Linked DNA regions of Drosophila melanogaster. The protein of the gene in region 2 interacts with the protein of the main gene of each other region in a pairwise test. Each region holds a gene or a part of one and is shown on either strand. Other genes may lie near its edges.

Region 1 (6,344 bases), on a different chromosome or scaffold from region 2:
CATATCTAAAGAGAAAGTGCTGTTTTATTAAGCTTCTCTACACTCGAAAAAGTATTATATATGTGTTATGTTTGTCAATATCTTAGTTAACAAGCGAAATTCTCTGTGCTTTACTATATATCCTATAATTATAAACGTAAGTATGAAATTGTTAATCCTATTATCTATATATTCAGCGAAGGCGTTTCCAATTATTATCTAATATATTTGCTGCAATTATTATGTTACCAAATTTTTCGTGCAATTTTTGAAAGTCAATTAAAAGAATATTGCTTGTTACATTTAAGGCAAAACTTTGAAACACCAAGGCGCTTGATAGCTAAAAAATAACAGATAAATATTGTTGAAAACGTACAATACAATAATTAAAAAGTAAACAACGATGATTTTTAGGTTTTCAGCAAACAAACAATGTTGTAATATGAAAAGCGAATTTTTAAACACCAACTATTATACTACATAATTACAAATATATGATCAAAATTAAAACAACAAAACCAAATTAAGTTCGATTTATTTTGTATTTCATTAGATTGCCCGTCCAGCTTTGAAAATCAGATCGAGATGGTAAGTGCTTTAAATTATATTTGTGAGCTTTTCTACGTAAAAGGAATAGAGGTGATTTGATTTCAAGAGTTCTATTATCTGAGTTCATTTATAGATGATCAAGTATTTGTTACTCATTTGTTCAATGATAGTGCATAATCACTTTAGAGAGATTTCGTATGTGAGAGCGAGGTGAACTTTAGACTTCAGCGATTATTATTTACAAGACTTTATTGGCATTCATACTAGGTTAACAATCAAGGGCTTAAAATTCGTATAAAAGTATATTGGTCTAGTTTTGATCCAAGATTCCAGTCGTAGTCACACCGCCATTTTCCAAAGTGGTCTTGGCGATGGTGGAAATCTTCTCATTGAGAGACCTATGATGACTGGATGTGGCAGCCTGTAGATTCTTAATCACTCGATCAGATGCCTGAATAGTGAGTGCCTTGGTCATGTTGAGCTCGTGTTGTGCAGTTGGCAGATTCAGATTGACTGCACGGGATGATCGCGATTGCGTCACAACCATTGCATAAATATCAATGGCTGCATTTGCCAGTCGTGTTAGCAAAATTTGTTCGTTAACTATGTTTTTGTTGTATCGCAGCAATAGTTCTTCCACCGATTGTCCAAAAAGATCAATACAATGGGCCGTTTTTTTGGCATAAGGCAAGAGTTCACCCACTACGTGGCCACTCAGATCGGTGCCGCCCAAGCCGACAGTGGAGGCCGCCCGCCTGGAGGCCTCTTTGAAAATCAGTCCCAAATTGGCCGAGGGATTCTTGAATGCGCGCTGCAGTTCCTTAAGGTGGGATCCCGCATATTGAATGCCAGTCAGGGCAATGAACAGCCGGAGAATGTCATTGGTGCCCTCGAATATGCGGAAAATGCGCAGGTCACGCAGGACTCGTTCCAATCCATTATCCACCATGTATCCCATGCCGCCCAGAATTTGTATAGCCTCGTCGCAAACATACCACGCGCTCTCCGAAGCATAGATCTTCGAGATGGCGGCTTCCAAGTGATAGTCCTTGCTGCCGGCATCCATGTTTTGTGAAATAGTAAACGCCATCGACTCCGTGGCGTACTGCAGAATGTTCATCTGAGCCAATTTCTCTTGGATGGATCCATAGTTCTTTAGTTTTTGACCAAACTGAACTCGATTGTTGGCATGCTCGGTGGCCTGTTCGATGCATTTCTTCATTGTTCCCGATAGCGTGGCGCCCATTCCAAACCGACCGTTGTTCAATATGTTCATGGCAACCTTGAATCCATCACCTTCCTTGCCGAGCACATTTTCAATTGGAATCTTTACATCTTCGAAATACACTTCGGCCGTGTTCGATGCCTTGATGCCCATTTTCTTCTCCGGTGGTCCATTGGTTACACCTCCGAAGGATCGTTCCACAATGAAGGCAGTGACCTTGTCCTTCTTCTCGCCAGTCTTCGGGTCCACCTGCTCGGTCTGTGCGAAAACGGTCATAATTTCGGCAATTCCGCCATTGGAAATCCAGATTTTTGAGCCATTAAGGACGTAGTGCTTTCCATCGGCACTCTTCACGGCACGGCATCGAATGGAACCCGCATCAGATCCGGAGCTGGGTTCCGTAAGGGCAAAGGCAGCGTACACCTGCTCGGCGGCCACCTTGGGCAGGTACTTCTCCTTCTGCTCGGGGGTGCCGTACAGCAGTATTCCCTTGAAGCCAATACTCTGATGGGCGCCAATCGTGATGCCCAGTCCCAGATCGTTGACACCCACAATGGCGCACAGCCTGCCGTACTGGGTATTGTTCAGACCGAGGCCACCGAATTCAGATGGCACTTGGATTCCGAAGGCCCCGAGCTCCCACAGAGCCGTCGAAGTGGTGTCATCTATTTTAGAGTTGGCATCGTTGCGGGCAGCGTCATTGACATCGGAGAAGAAACGCTCGAACGGATCTATCAGGCTGTTGGTCAGCTCCTTCTGCTCCGCGGTCAGGACATCCGGATACGGGAACACTTGGCTTGACACCAGTGATCCACGGAAGATGTTGGCCATAAAGGACTCATTCTCACTTGCCTTTTCCTTGCTGCGATTGCTTTCCGCCCCCAGTTTGGGACTGTGCGTCGCTATTTGCCTGCAAAGCGAGGCGTTTCCTGCCAGGTACCTGGTACTTTGGATCGTGTGCCTCCACATAGTTTCGAAATTGTTTGGTAAATCGCCCTTTGGACCGAGAGTCTGCAGTGTGCCCACATTCCCGATCACCCACGACGACGTCATCACCGCGACTTGCGCAGTCCAAATCTGGTATATTTCCTCAGAGCACCGAGTACCGGAGTATTCATCGTTTGGCATATTAAATTCAGTTGGTTTCCAAATCACTTAAAGAGTTTTTTAAATTTCGAAAAGTTTCTGGGGGAGTGTTTTTAGTCGTATTACTTGTTTTATATAACTGTTACTGCTTTTGAGAATTTTTGTATTGTATAGAACTTATCCAAAAATCGTTTAGCATCTTCAATTCTCTTTGTTTTCAAATCTCTGGAAGCGTTTTTAGAAATACAAAATGTATTTGAACCTAACTTAAATCTCGATCTGGATGTGGAAGAGAAGCATTTTGAACCAGATATTATAAATCTGATCCATCTGATGAAGAAGATTAAAGAAATGGTTTTGGAGTAATATTATTATCAATCCTGCTGTATATTGCAAATAGTTAATAATTTACCGCTGTTGATAAATACTAACTGCCCCCAACTCCAAATTAAAACACAAATGACGCTCTTAAACTGCAGTTTAATGTCGATAAATATGCGGCTTTTGAAAAGCTTACAAAAGTTCCCTTGTCGGTTGACCTTTTCTTTCTAAATCCTAACTCATTTCTGTTCAGTTAAATAAATATTTACAAAATGTACACGGTTTTCCATTACAATTAATAATATCTAGTTTCAGTTGATGCGACGTTGCTTAAAGTCTTTTCTTATCTAGTATCGATAATAAATTAATTGCTGCCAGCAGCATTTTTGCTAAATAGAATAGTTCCTCAAATCTTTTTACAATTCCTTAGGATAAGTTACCGTAGACTAAAGCGAAATTCAGTTGCAGAATTCAGATATGTATCTCTGGAGCTGGAGCTGTCTATGTTCTCATGGTGAGCGTTTGGCCGACTGTCATGATAGAATCCAGGAGTGTATAATACCTGCACATCGAAGATGATCAATTAATCCAGTTGGGCAATTATTTATTTATCTACTTACGATTTTCGCCCGGCGATAGCGTTATATGTATGTCCTCACGGCTCAGAACAGGGGCTAAAAGTAAACATTTGGCCAAAGCCCAGACACATGTATTTTTGCTTTTTACCAATAAAACGTGTAAAGCAACAACTTGCGAAGCTTGTGTAAATATTTAAATAACGTTCTTTATTTACTTTTGAGCGGGCTAAAAATAATAAACTCTGTTTCTCGTTGGCTTAATGCTAGTTTAACGGTTAGAGGATATTGTTAAATTAAACGGCCTGAGGCTGAGGCGATTGCATTTAATGTACATACATAAATCGAATATGTTAAAATAATTTAAAAAGGCCGCGCTTAAGCAATTCGTTTCCGTTCGCTGTTGTTTTCGTTTCGCACATGTCTTTCAGGTGGAGCCATGCAGTGGATAATGAACCTGCCGCCTACTAGTTTAAATGCTATCACAGTTTCAAAGTCGAGCATGCAAGAACAACAGTCAGGAGCTAGCTCATGCACGATAAGAGAACTTTGTTATCGTTTGGTGCAGCTTTTTGGGTTATGTATGCAGAGCGTACGGCTGCTGGGACGGCTGCTGTTGCTGCTCAATGCTGCCGGGTGGCGTGGCAGCAGCAGCAGCGGCCCCGCCTCCACTGGGAACAATGCGTATCATACCCGGCTGGATCCTAACGTTCTCACAGGCCTCACAAATATTTAGCTGTGGATGGTTGCGGAATGTACACATGTTGCAGGCCCACGAGTCCAGCGTCTCCTCCTCCTCATCCACATCGGAGTCGGACAGGAATTCTTCCTCCTGTTGTGGCTGCGGCTGCTGTTGCTGCTGCATCTGGTGTTGTAGCTGCTGTTGCTGCTGCATCTGCTGTTGTAACTGCTGCTGTCGCTGCTGCTGCAGATATTGCTGGAACTGATAGTACTGGGCGTACGTCGGTGGCGGCTCCTGCTGCAGCTGTAACAGTTGCTGTTGACTCTGCATCTGGGGCGTTAAACAGGCCGAGGTGGGAGCACTGCTGTGGTGCTGCCCAAAGTCCTGCACCGGCTGGGAGATGGGTGCTGCCGGCACCGAGTGCAGACGTAGTGAACTGGGCGGCGCCTGGACGCGAGCACTTTGACGCTGACGCGGGAATGGCTGTGGCTGTTGCTGCGGCTGCTGCTGTGAAGCATTGCTGGCTGGTAACAGGTGCTGGCGGTTCGTGGGATTGGCCGCCGGACCAGGGCCATTCGCCTGCGGTTCTGTGGATATAAGAGGGGCAGAGTCAGCATAGAAAAACCGATATACTTTGCAATCATCCTTACCATTTAAGCAGTCAAGCAGCCGATTACAGTCCTCAGTCAGTTGCTTGATATCTCTATCCAGTCTTTCAGATTCCCCCACCGGCACCGGCTCAGTCAGGATGTTGATCTCCTGCTCCAGGACGAGCAGGCGCTTCTTGTTGTCCCTCAGTGCATTGGCCAGCTTGTCGCGACGCTGCTTCTGACGCTCGATAGTGGCGGCACGAGCTGAAGTAGATAGAGAGAAGAAAAGCTGATCAATCGATTTGCTGACTGTGGAATGTGTAGCTCCGTTGGCCTGGCAACAAATGATTGCCTTGCGGCATTTCGAATTTCCAAATATTCCTCCCCGCGGCTAGATTTATTTTTCTGTCTAACGCCTCCCATTTTATTACTCTGTTTTGTTGCTAAAAATATTTACCCCACCAAACGCCTGTCTGCCGCAGAGTGAAAGGGGTTCATAAACAGAATTTATATTTAAATAGATAAATTTAGTTAAAATGCGCAAGCAAGCACAACCAAAAATCAATCTAATAATAATTTATTCCTACGAAAAAAAAGGTAAAAATAAATGAATACAAAAAACACACAGACAAAGTCTTTCGATGCATTTTGTGTTTGGCTTTGGGCGACTGTTCATGTGAATATTTTTAGACGCTTGATAGATTTCCAACGGAAATAGCCAACAGGGCAGTGGGCCAAGGGATCTCTGAATATGTCACATCATTATGTGCGATTCGCTGGCATCTTAATTGATAAATTATTTCGTTAATGGCTCTAGCTTTTCTAAATTCCAATTTGTGTTCTATACACCGATGGAAAATTCTCCAACAATATGAACGACATTTAAAGTGGTTTCTCGTGATAGCGTCGCGTGATTAAATGTCAAAGTGTAAGTGCCTTTTGGGCCCACGCTGCGTATGCTTAATACCTTAGCTAATCAAACGGAGAGATTTTCCTGTTCGCTTTCTTCTCTTTTTCTTTGTTTCTTCTCTGGTTTTACCAACCACCCACACGAATCGCCCTGAACTTGAACGACTTGCGGCGAAAACAAATTGAAAACGTCGCAGAAAGAGCGGCAAAAGCAACAGACGTATAAATAATGTGAAAAGTGAGATGGATGGGGGGTACGAAATCGGGAAAAACATGGCCAAAGCCAGAAGCCAGACAAAAAACAAAAGACAGCATTTTTAAACTCGTGGGCGGTCGATATGGTTAATGTTTTAAACGAAATATAATTAATTAATAATATAAATCGTGTACAATATGCTTGTTTATCTATCGCTTTCTTCTACAACGCT
Region 2 (8,353 bases):
CCAAAAATAATAAAAGTCTGGTCCGAAGGCGGGTGGAAAATGGGGGGAAAAAAAGGGAGAAAAATGGCCAAAAGGGTTGCCGAGCAAACAGGGAAATAATGCAAATGCAAATGAATCCGCGACAGCGGGATGTCGGTGGAGTTTGGAACAGGTGTTCCACTTGCTTCTTTATGCCAATAAAAACGGGTTTGCACATGTGTGAGTGTGTGTGGCCGGTATAAAAATGTAATAACAAAGTTGGCGGCGCTGCTTTTTATACCCTTTTTTGTCATTGCGTTTTGTGTTTGTGTGCAGTAAAAACTATTTGCCCAATCCCCTTGGAAACCCCATCCGCCGGCCATGACTCTTGTGTTTGTGCCAGCAAAATGCCAATGGACACAATGCGCCCACGGAAGGGTGGCTCAATTCAAAGAAGCGCTCAAAAACGTACAGAAAAGATATTGAAAATCAATTAAAAAGCTGGTTATATTTGACCATTATTACCTCTTTTAGCAAAAGAAGTGCTTACAAGTATGCTGCGATATGTGCGATTCTAATCCTTATGATTGCGGTTATGCTTATGAGATATATTGCTGCATACATACTGCATAACACTTCCACTGATGGATATTGCACAATGTTTAGCTATGGAAAGCGCATTTCAAATCTGCCTAACAATATGAGCCACCCTACTTCCTTACGTGTGTTTTGGATGGACCGTTGTCATATCAGTGAGCTAAAAGTAACCGCACGGTGCTCACAAGTATGCAATGGCATTGGCCTCCCCCCTGCAGCGAAGGACTTCGGGAGGGTGGAGGACCAGCTCCCGGATCCAGGGAAATTCGCAGATCGCAGGTCCCAAGTCCCGGCCACCGGATCCGAGCCCCAGTTCCATGTGCATTGGCATTGGCGGCGCCCGTCAGCGTTTTCATTTCAAATTCAAATGCTGTTTGCATAAAAAACGAGCCAAGACATCGAAAGGCATCACGTGCCCAGGAGTCGGTTCCTCCTCGCTCCATCCCAGTGGAATGTGGGGCCAAAAAACAAAAAAAAACTGCTGGAATTCAGTAGTGACAATAGCAACAAACGGATGCCGACAGCGATATATGAACGAGCAGTGGATGCACAAGAAAAAAATCATTTTAAAAATTATTATATGGAATTATATTGAGTGAATGGTATTTAATATATTCGATTCGTTTTTTATGAGAAAGTATGTTTTCAGGAACTAATCTATCTATACATATAAATATATTATGCTATGAAATAAGGTTTAACATGATTTTATGATATTTGTCTAAAGTAGTAATATTTACTTAAAAACTATTTGAGCAGTTGGCAAAAGGATTTATTAAATTCTCCAGCAAACAATATGAATAATAATAGTGCTTATTAGTTCTTATTTATTCAGTTAAGTTTCAAAATAGTACAAAATATGAGTGTGGTTCGCAGAGCCATCCAATTGAGTGGGTTAAGTGGGTGGAGTGCAGCACTGGTGTCGTTGGCCTCCAAATCCAACAAAAAAAAAAAATCGAATCGAAATAGCGAAAGACGTTTCACTGTGGCGGAAGTGAGATGAGTTGAGGTTCAGAGCGGGATGGCTGGAGGACAGCCAGCTGCCGGTCGTTTTGCATGTCCGTGTTGGGTTAAGTGGATTGTTTACTTTGATTACAAAAATATGGCAAATGTTTGCACGTTTGATGTCTCACTGCGTGTGTGTGTGTGTGTGTGTGTGTGTGTTCGTCGGTGTGCTTACGTGTGCATGTGTGTGGCGCAGACACATGCATTGGTTGGTAGTGGTGGTGGTGGGAGTGAGAGAGAGAATGAGCGATCTTGATTATATAGAATCTTAGATTGATTTCACAAAATATCCTATCTTATCAATCATTTTTCATGCATTTTTCTTAAGTTTGACTTTTTTCAAAAATGTGCTCAGTTCAGTTGTGTTTGAATACTTCAATTTATTCAAGATGAATCTTTTCACGCGGTCATCTCCATGGCAAACAATGCACACACACACACTCATATTTACATACAGAACGAAAGAAAGAGATGGAAAGGAGCGAATGAGACGGGGAGAAGTACATTCAGGCAGCGAGACAAATGGCGTTTGCCTTGGCGCGCTTGTAAAATCCGAAAGCTAACATTATTACAAAAAATCTGCAGTTATACATTTGACTTTGGTTTATTTTTGTGATTTGCCCAGTTTGCAGTTGACCAACCAACCGACCGACCATCGCAGGACTGCCTGTTTGGCTGAGTTTTTATTGTATTGAGGCTGCGGGAACCAGATGGAAAGGAACTGTTGATTGTGGGGCCAGTGTCGGCCGAAAAGATGGGATTGAAAGGGGGGGGGGGGGAGAGTTAGGAAATGGGATAGGTCAGGAGAGAGGAGACAGGATCCAGCTTCTTTTGTCCTTTAAATTGAATTGCCACCGAAGTTGCAGGGCAAAATAGTTGAACCGACATTAAACAATGGAAGAACGCGTTAAGTGGTTCTTACATACATACATTTAAAGTAAATTGTACCGGGAAAGTAATGGAGTCTCCTCCGCTGGCCAACGCCCATGGTCGGGCGGACCCACAGCCCATGTGGGTCACGTCATCGGAAAGGTCAAAGGCATTTATCAGGCCCACTTGGCACCCACTCCTATTTGCATTTCATGTTGAACTGTTTGCCCAGGCCAAAACTAATTTTGACATTCGAAGAGAAAAAAATGCGCGAGCAAAGCCGCCGCTTTTATTGGAAAAATTTGTATTTGTTTGGGCAATGGGCAATGGTAGAAATGGTAGCTGGTTTCTGCTTGCTGGTGGCAAATCGCAGCGGGGTCACACGCCCACAATGCCAAATAGTTTTCATTCTTAGCCGCTACTCCTCACCGCCGCTGGCTGCATTTTATTTTATTAATGGGAATTTGTTTGCCAGCGCAGGCGGATTGGATGGTTACGGGGCGCGGGGTGTAGGATGCGTCCAGGATGCGACCAGGATGCGACCAGGATGCCGCCTCGTCGCTATTATGGCAGCCATTTGTTTGCACGCGAGCATCCGAGTGCCGGAGCGTCGGAGTGCTGGAGTGCCCCACAGGGCGTATGCGCTATATTATTTTTCCCGCACTGCTGGCGGTCCTTGCCAGTGTGCCACGCCCACGCCTTAGTCCCCCCCCATCTTGGCAACGCCACTGAAAAGCGTCCAGCAACGACCACATGTCGCTCATGATTAATTGAAAGATTCTCTCAACTTCAACTGTTTTCGGGTTTTGCGTTCACCCAACCCCCCCCCTTTTAGAACTCACTTTTTTATTATTTCTATATTTTTCCTTTCGAGGTGCTTGTTGCTCTGTGTGCTTGTCCCAAGTGTTTTGATTAATGAACTATGCTGAGTGAAATTTAAACAAATTTCTTAGTACAATCCAAGCTGGCAAGCAATTAGTTTGGACCACTAAAGTTTTTAGAGTTTTTAAATAGATAGTGGCTTTTGGTACCTCTCTAAGCAGCTTAACTGTTACTCAATAATATATCAATATAATATTTATGATTGTGGATCAGGAAATACGCGCAATTAATTACATTAATTGTTTATTTATTTTTGTCTACTGTTTGCCACATGTACGAGTATATGTTTTTTTTTTTTAAATAAGGATTTCCATTCACCTAGAAACCATATCAATTAGTGTATTGCTATTTCCGCAGCTCTGGTGCAACTTTCACTCACTCATTTTAACTCTGTTCTGTGCATGTTACTCCCTCTCCCTCCCTCTCTCTCTCTCTCTCTCTTTCAACCTAGTAATAAGACTAATTGAGCGCACCTGCTCGTCGATGTTCCCGACATAAGTATTAGTTCTGCCAGCCACCTTGTCTAATCTGGGCCGCATTTTCCCGGCGATAAGACCATTTTCGATTGGTATAGACAGTGCTTACGATGCCGCAAGTCAGTGTTTCAATGGCCGGGGAATATATCATACTGGAGAACTCGTCGACTTATCCGGGCTTCCATTCCAGTTCCAACGGATTGGCGAATGGCATGTACCGCTCCGCCCAGCGCATCTCCACCGATCGCCTGGTCCTGCTCATTCTGCTGGTGAGCACCACGGTGATCGGGCTGTTTGCCTACTGGGATGTAATGGTGCTCAACGCCGGCGCACTGCCACTGTCCAGAGGCACTAGCTCTGTTGATTACATGGAGCCTGGACTGCGCAACGAAACCCTGGCCGAGAAGATGCATCGGGAGGTGAGAGTCCTGTGCTGGGTGCTCACCACACCCAAATACCACAAGACCCGGGCCATTCACGTTTTGCGAACGTGGGGCAAACGCTGCAATAAGATCTACTTCATGACCTCTGAGCCGGATGACGAGCTGCCCACCGTTGTGCTGACCAAGCCGGACCGATACGAGATGCTGTGGGGCAAGACCAAAGAGGCCTTTGTCCACATCCACGAGCAGATGCGCCACGAGGCGGATTGGTTCATAAAGGCGGACGACGACACGTATGTGAAAGATTCAGATTCTTAAATAGGGAAAGAGTGGCATTTTATTGCAGGAATTGATAAGTGAATGGATGGTTGTTTTCGTCACCACAGATACACGTACATATGTATATATGTATGTATGTATTTATTGAACATTATTATCATTCTGTTTTACCTTTGTGGTGTAACTACTGATGGTATCTCAATGTTAGGGCCACAGCCAAAACAGTTGAATGAAGAATAATTAGGAACCGATAAAGAAAAGATAGCATTATTAAAGTTTGACTGAACTTTCAATCTGCTCCTATCAATAGCTACCTCTTTTTGGAAAATCTGCGCTACATGCTCTACCCGTATTCACCGGAGACACCTATTTATTTTGGATTTAATTACAAGATGGTCGGCACTCACCAGAAGAACGAGGTGAGTTTATCTTCTGTCCGGTTCGGATTACATTACAAACTCACTGAATATGAATCCGATTCAATAGTCATACATGTCCGGCGGCAGTGGCTACGTACTGAGCCGCGAGGCTCTTAGGATCTTCGCCGAGGGCGTCAACGACACCACCAAGTGTCGCCAGGAGGACGATCACGCCGAGGACGTCGAGATGGGCAAGTGCCTGTTCAACCTGGGCGTGAAGGCGGGTGATTCCAGGGACGAGCAGCTGCGCAACCGCTTCTATCCCATAGCTCCTTATGGAGCCCTTCTCTCGGGCAACGTTGGCATGGACTTTTGGTTGTACAAGTACGCCTACTACAATCCGAGATCGGTGAGTTTGGATGCATTTAGCACCCTACTAAAAGTACGTTTGTATGTATGTAGATATATGAATGAATGCACAGCTTACCCATCCAGTACCTTTTAACAATCCAGCAAAATAGAAAATAAACTCAAGTGTCACAAAGACAACGCCATATTTTGCCAAGCACTCATATTATTTAGTCGAACGTAATCATCATTCTTCGTTACCAGAAAGGTGGTGGTAAGGTGCGTTCGTCACTGGCTTATAACCGCGTGAGGAGGCATTTTATCTTTGATATTCAAGCCTCAACGTATAGTTTTTCCACCTTCGTATTCGCATTCCTTGTCCTCTTTTGATTATTATCTAAACTATCTTCGTATTCTTGCAGTGCATGGACTGCCTGTCGGAGTACCCGGTGGCCTTTCACTATGTGCACAGCAAGCAGCTGTACGTGTACGACTACTTCAACTACCAGTTCCAGCTCTCCGGAAGGGCGCAGGTGGCGGAACGGCTGCCCAAGAAGATCCGGGAGGAGGAGCTGGTCATCCCCGAGAGCGACAATCCGGTGTCCTAGGCAGGAGCCAGCCATTCTGCCACTTCAGCAGCAGCAATCTCAAGTCCATATCTACATATTTTCCATCCTTTTTTTTTTGTGTGTGCTTATCGTGTATTTAATATATTATGGGCACAAGGCGAACGTGCCAAGGCTGCCAGATGCTGTCCTGTTGCGACTCCTTGTCCTTGCCCGATCCACGTCCTAGTTTATCTATTCATGTATTTATTATTGAGCAGCTCGTGGCAGACGGGCCACACGAAGGCATTAAAAGGATAATGGAGGGCTACTGGGTGGACATTTACTCTTGATTTCCAATGAGGATTTCAAAAAGTTGCATATCTAGAAAAATGAATTAGTCGCAACTATAATGGTATGGCTGCACTATTAACATTGTAAGTGTACGTACGAAATGACTGCAATCTCTGATCTGTTGAATGGTACAAATTAGAGTTGCCAGCTTGAACTTTGTTATGCCATAATAATCTTAAACTCTATAAATGATTGGCTTTACAACATATGTACGCAAGGAAAATAAACAGTTTTCTTTAGAAGCCTAAGGCGTATGAAATGGTTATACTTCTTGTACAGTTTTCAACAATCTACAATGAGTAAATGAAATAATAATGGCCACGTGGCGTTGAGTGGCTTAACTTACCGCAACTTGTTTCAAACCCTGGTAACACCTTTTAACGTCATTGTGCAACACTAGTACTAGAAATCGAAAAGCAAGTACATATTTGTTACTTTAAGGCAAATGATCAAAAGAGTGATTTTACTACTGCTGACATTAAATATGTGGATTATTATATAAAACACTCGATTCGAAAAATCGAATTACTTAACTTTTAATACTGGAAATAAAAATGATCATAGAGCATATTATTTATAACAGAATGTGTATAGTTTTTTTTAAATTATTTTAGCATTGTATTGAGTACAGTCAAGTGTTCTTTGCAAAAGCTCTGTTCCTATTCGAATTTTTTTTTACACATGCGGGCACACTAATTGGTATTTAAGTATGCCCAGACTTTTAGATCCAGTTAATCAGCTATTCGTTGAATGATTCTCACTTTATCCTTTACTTTCTACACGATTCAAGTGAGCTATTGCGAAATAAATTAAAAAACCAACTTTTCAATCTTCTGGGAATATTGAATACTGAGGAAAACCCTAAATTGATTGCTGCCGAAACCCAGAAGGATGGAGAACATGAACAAAGAACTCGCGAATATGGAGAAACTATCTTTGAAGGAGCTGCTCAGTGAGGACACACTCTCTGAATTGGCTACCCCGAATGATGTCGACATTGCCGGCGAGGAAAAGAACCTCGAGGGTCAATCTGTTTCGAAGGAAGATCCACCGCCTGCGGCAGTTGTACCCAAAGCGACCAAAGCGCCCAATAATCCCGAAGCGCTAACCCAAAAGCAGAGTATGGACTATGCGGCACGGATCGTGAAGGTCATCAACCTACAGATGCAAAATGTGGTGCATAAAACGTTCATGATGATGCAATCACCACTCCCTCTCCGGAACAGGCTACCAGTGGTCGTGTCCACCATGATCCGCTCCCGTAGGGCACCCAAGTTGAAGCTCAAAGATGTGAGGAGAGTGATCACGGGCCTGGCGCTGCATCGTGCACACCTGGTCTACGAATATATTATCAACCACCCCGAATAAGAAAACTTCTACATATGTTAACTTAATACAATAATTAAAAAATCCAAACACTCGCCGGCTCTAGTTTAGTTTAAAGTTCTATAGAACAAGGTTCATCGCACGCATACTACAATATATTACTGATGAATATTCAGCTAGTTTTGAACGTATTTGAAATATATTCGGCTCAAATTAGGCCTAAAGCTGATGCTTTTCAATTTATTAACTGAGGAGCCACTTCAGTTCAGTGGGTCACTATTACAATTATTCATTGGCTTATCCCTATAAGTCCACTTCAGAGCACTTAAGTCTCATTCTCGCAGGCAGCTAATTAAGGTCATCGCTCCCTGCGGCTCACCCCAAAAAATTTGGGTGAAACACTGGCATTCCAATAGTTCACATTCCCTGGGCTAATTAGGAAATTAGACTACCTACCGGCCGACATTTTGTGTTTCTTTGGAAAAGTCGGTAGAGTCGCGTCAAATGCGAATCGCATACGAATGGCAGTGGAATCAGAATGGAAATGCGAATTTTGCCTAAAATGCCGAGAAAAAATTGGACTAAAACACTTGCCGTAATGCGTGGTGTGCATTTTCCAAGGCAATCTGGCGAGTGGGGGCGGTGCTCCACATTGCTTTACCCGGCGACCCAGACAATTTCCGCTCGTAAAAGTGGTCCTCCGCCTGGTCTTGCCATTTTGGCCAGTGGCTGGGTGGCCAGTGGTTGGTGGCTCCTGGCCACTGTAATTAATACCAAAATAATTGTATTTGGATAACACAAACGTAATCAAGATTAATTGAGTAACAGCAGGTAGTTTGCATAATTAGAGCGCAGACAGTGGACTCCCCGCCGCCGATTCAATGCTCCTCCTTCTCCTACCCCTTGGCACCCTGTTCCTCCCATAAGCATAATTTGCAATTTCAACTGTCTGCCAACGCCTCCTATTTCCC

The links.
Region 1: the proteins of tgy (region 2) and Acadvl interact in a two-hybrid assay, tested with the Drosophila melanogaster proteins (one large-scale study listed by BioGRID).

Annotation. Positions count from the first base shown.
Region 1 is NT_033778.4:19,301,602-19,307,945, reverse strand, and holds Acadvl (Acyl-CoA dehydrogenase very long chain), read right to left. Parts: upstream 2,775-6,344; 5' UTR 2,723-2,774; coding exon 839-2,722; 3' UTR 501-838; downstream 1-500. Other genes in the region: Tab2 (TAK1-associated binding protein 2), read right to left, coding at 4,313-5,004, 5,068-5,271.
Region 2 is NC_004354.4:19,122,871-19,131,223, reverse strand, and holds tgy (twiggy), read left to right. Parts: upstream 1-3,907; 5' UTR 3,908-3,919; coding exon 3,920-4,464; intron 4,465-4,760; coding exon 4,761-4,869; intron 4,870-4,936; coding exon 4,937-5,218; intron 5,219-5,579; coding exon 5,580-5,765; 3' UTR 5,766-6,221; downstream 6,222-8,353. Other genes in the region: CG15882 (uncharacterized protein), read left to right, coding at 6,948-7,424.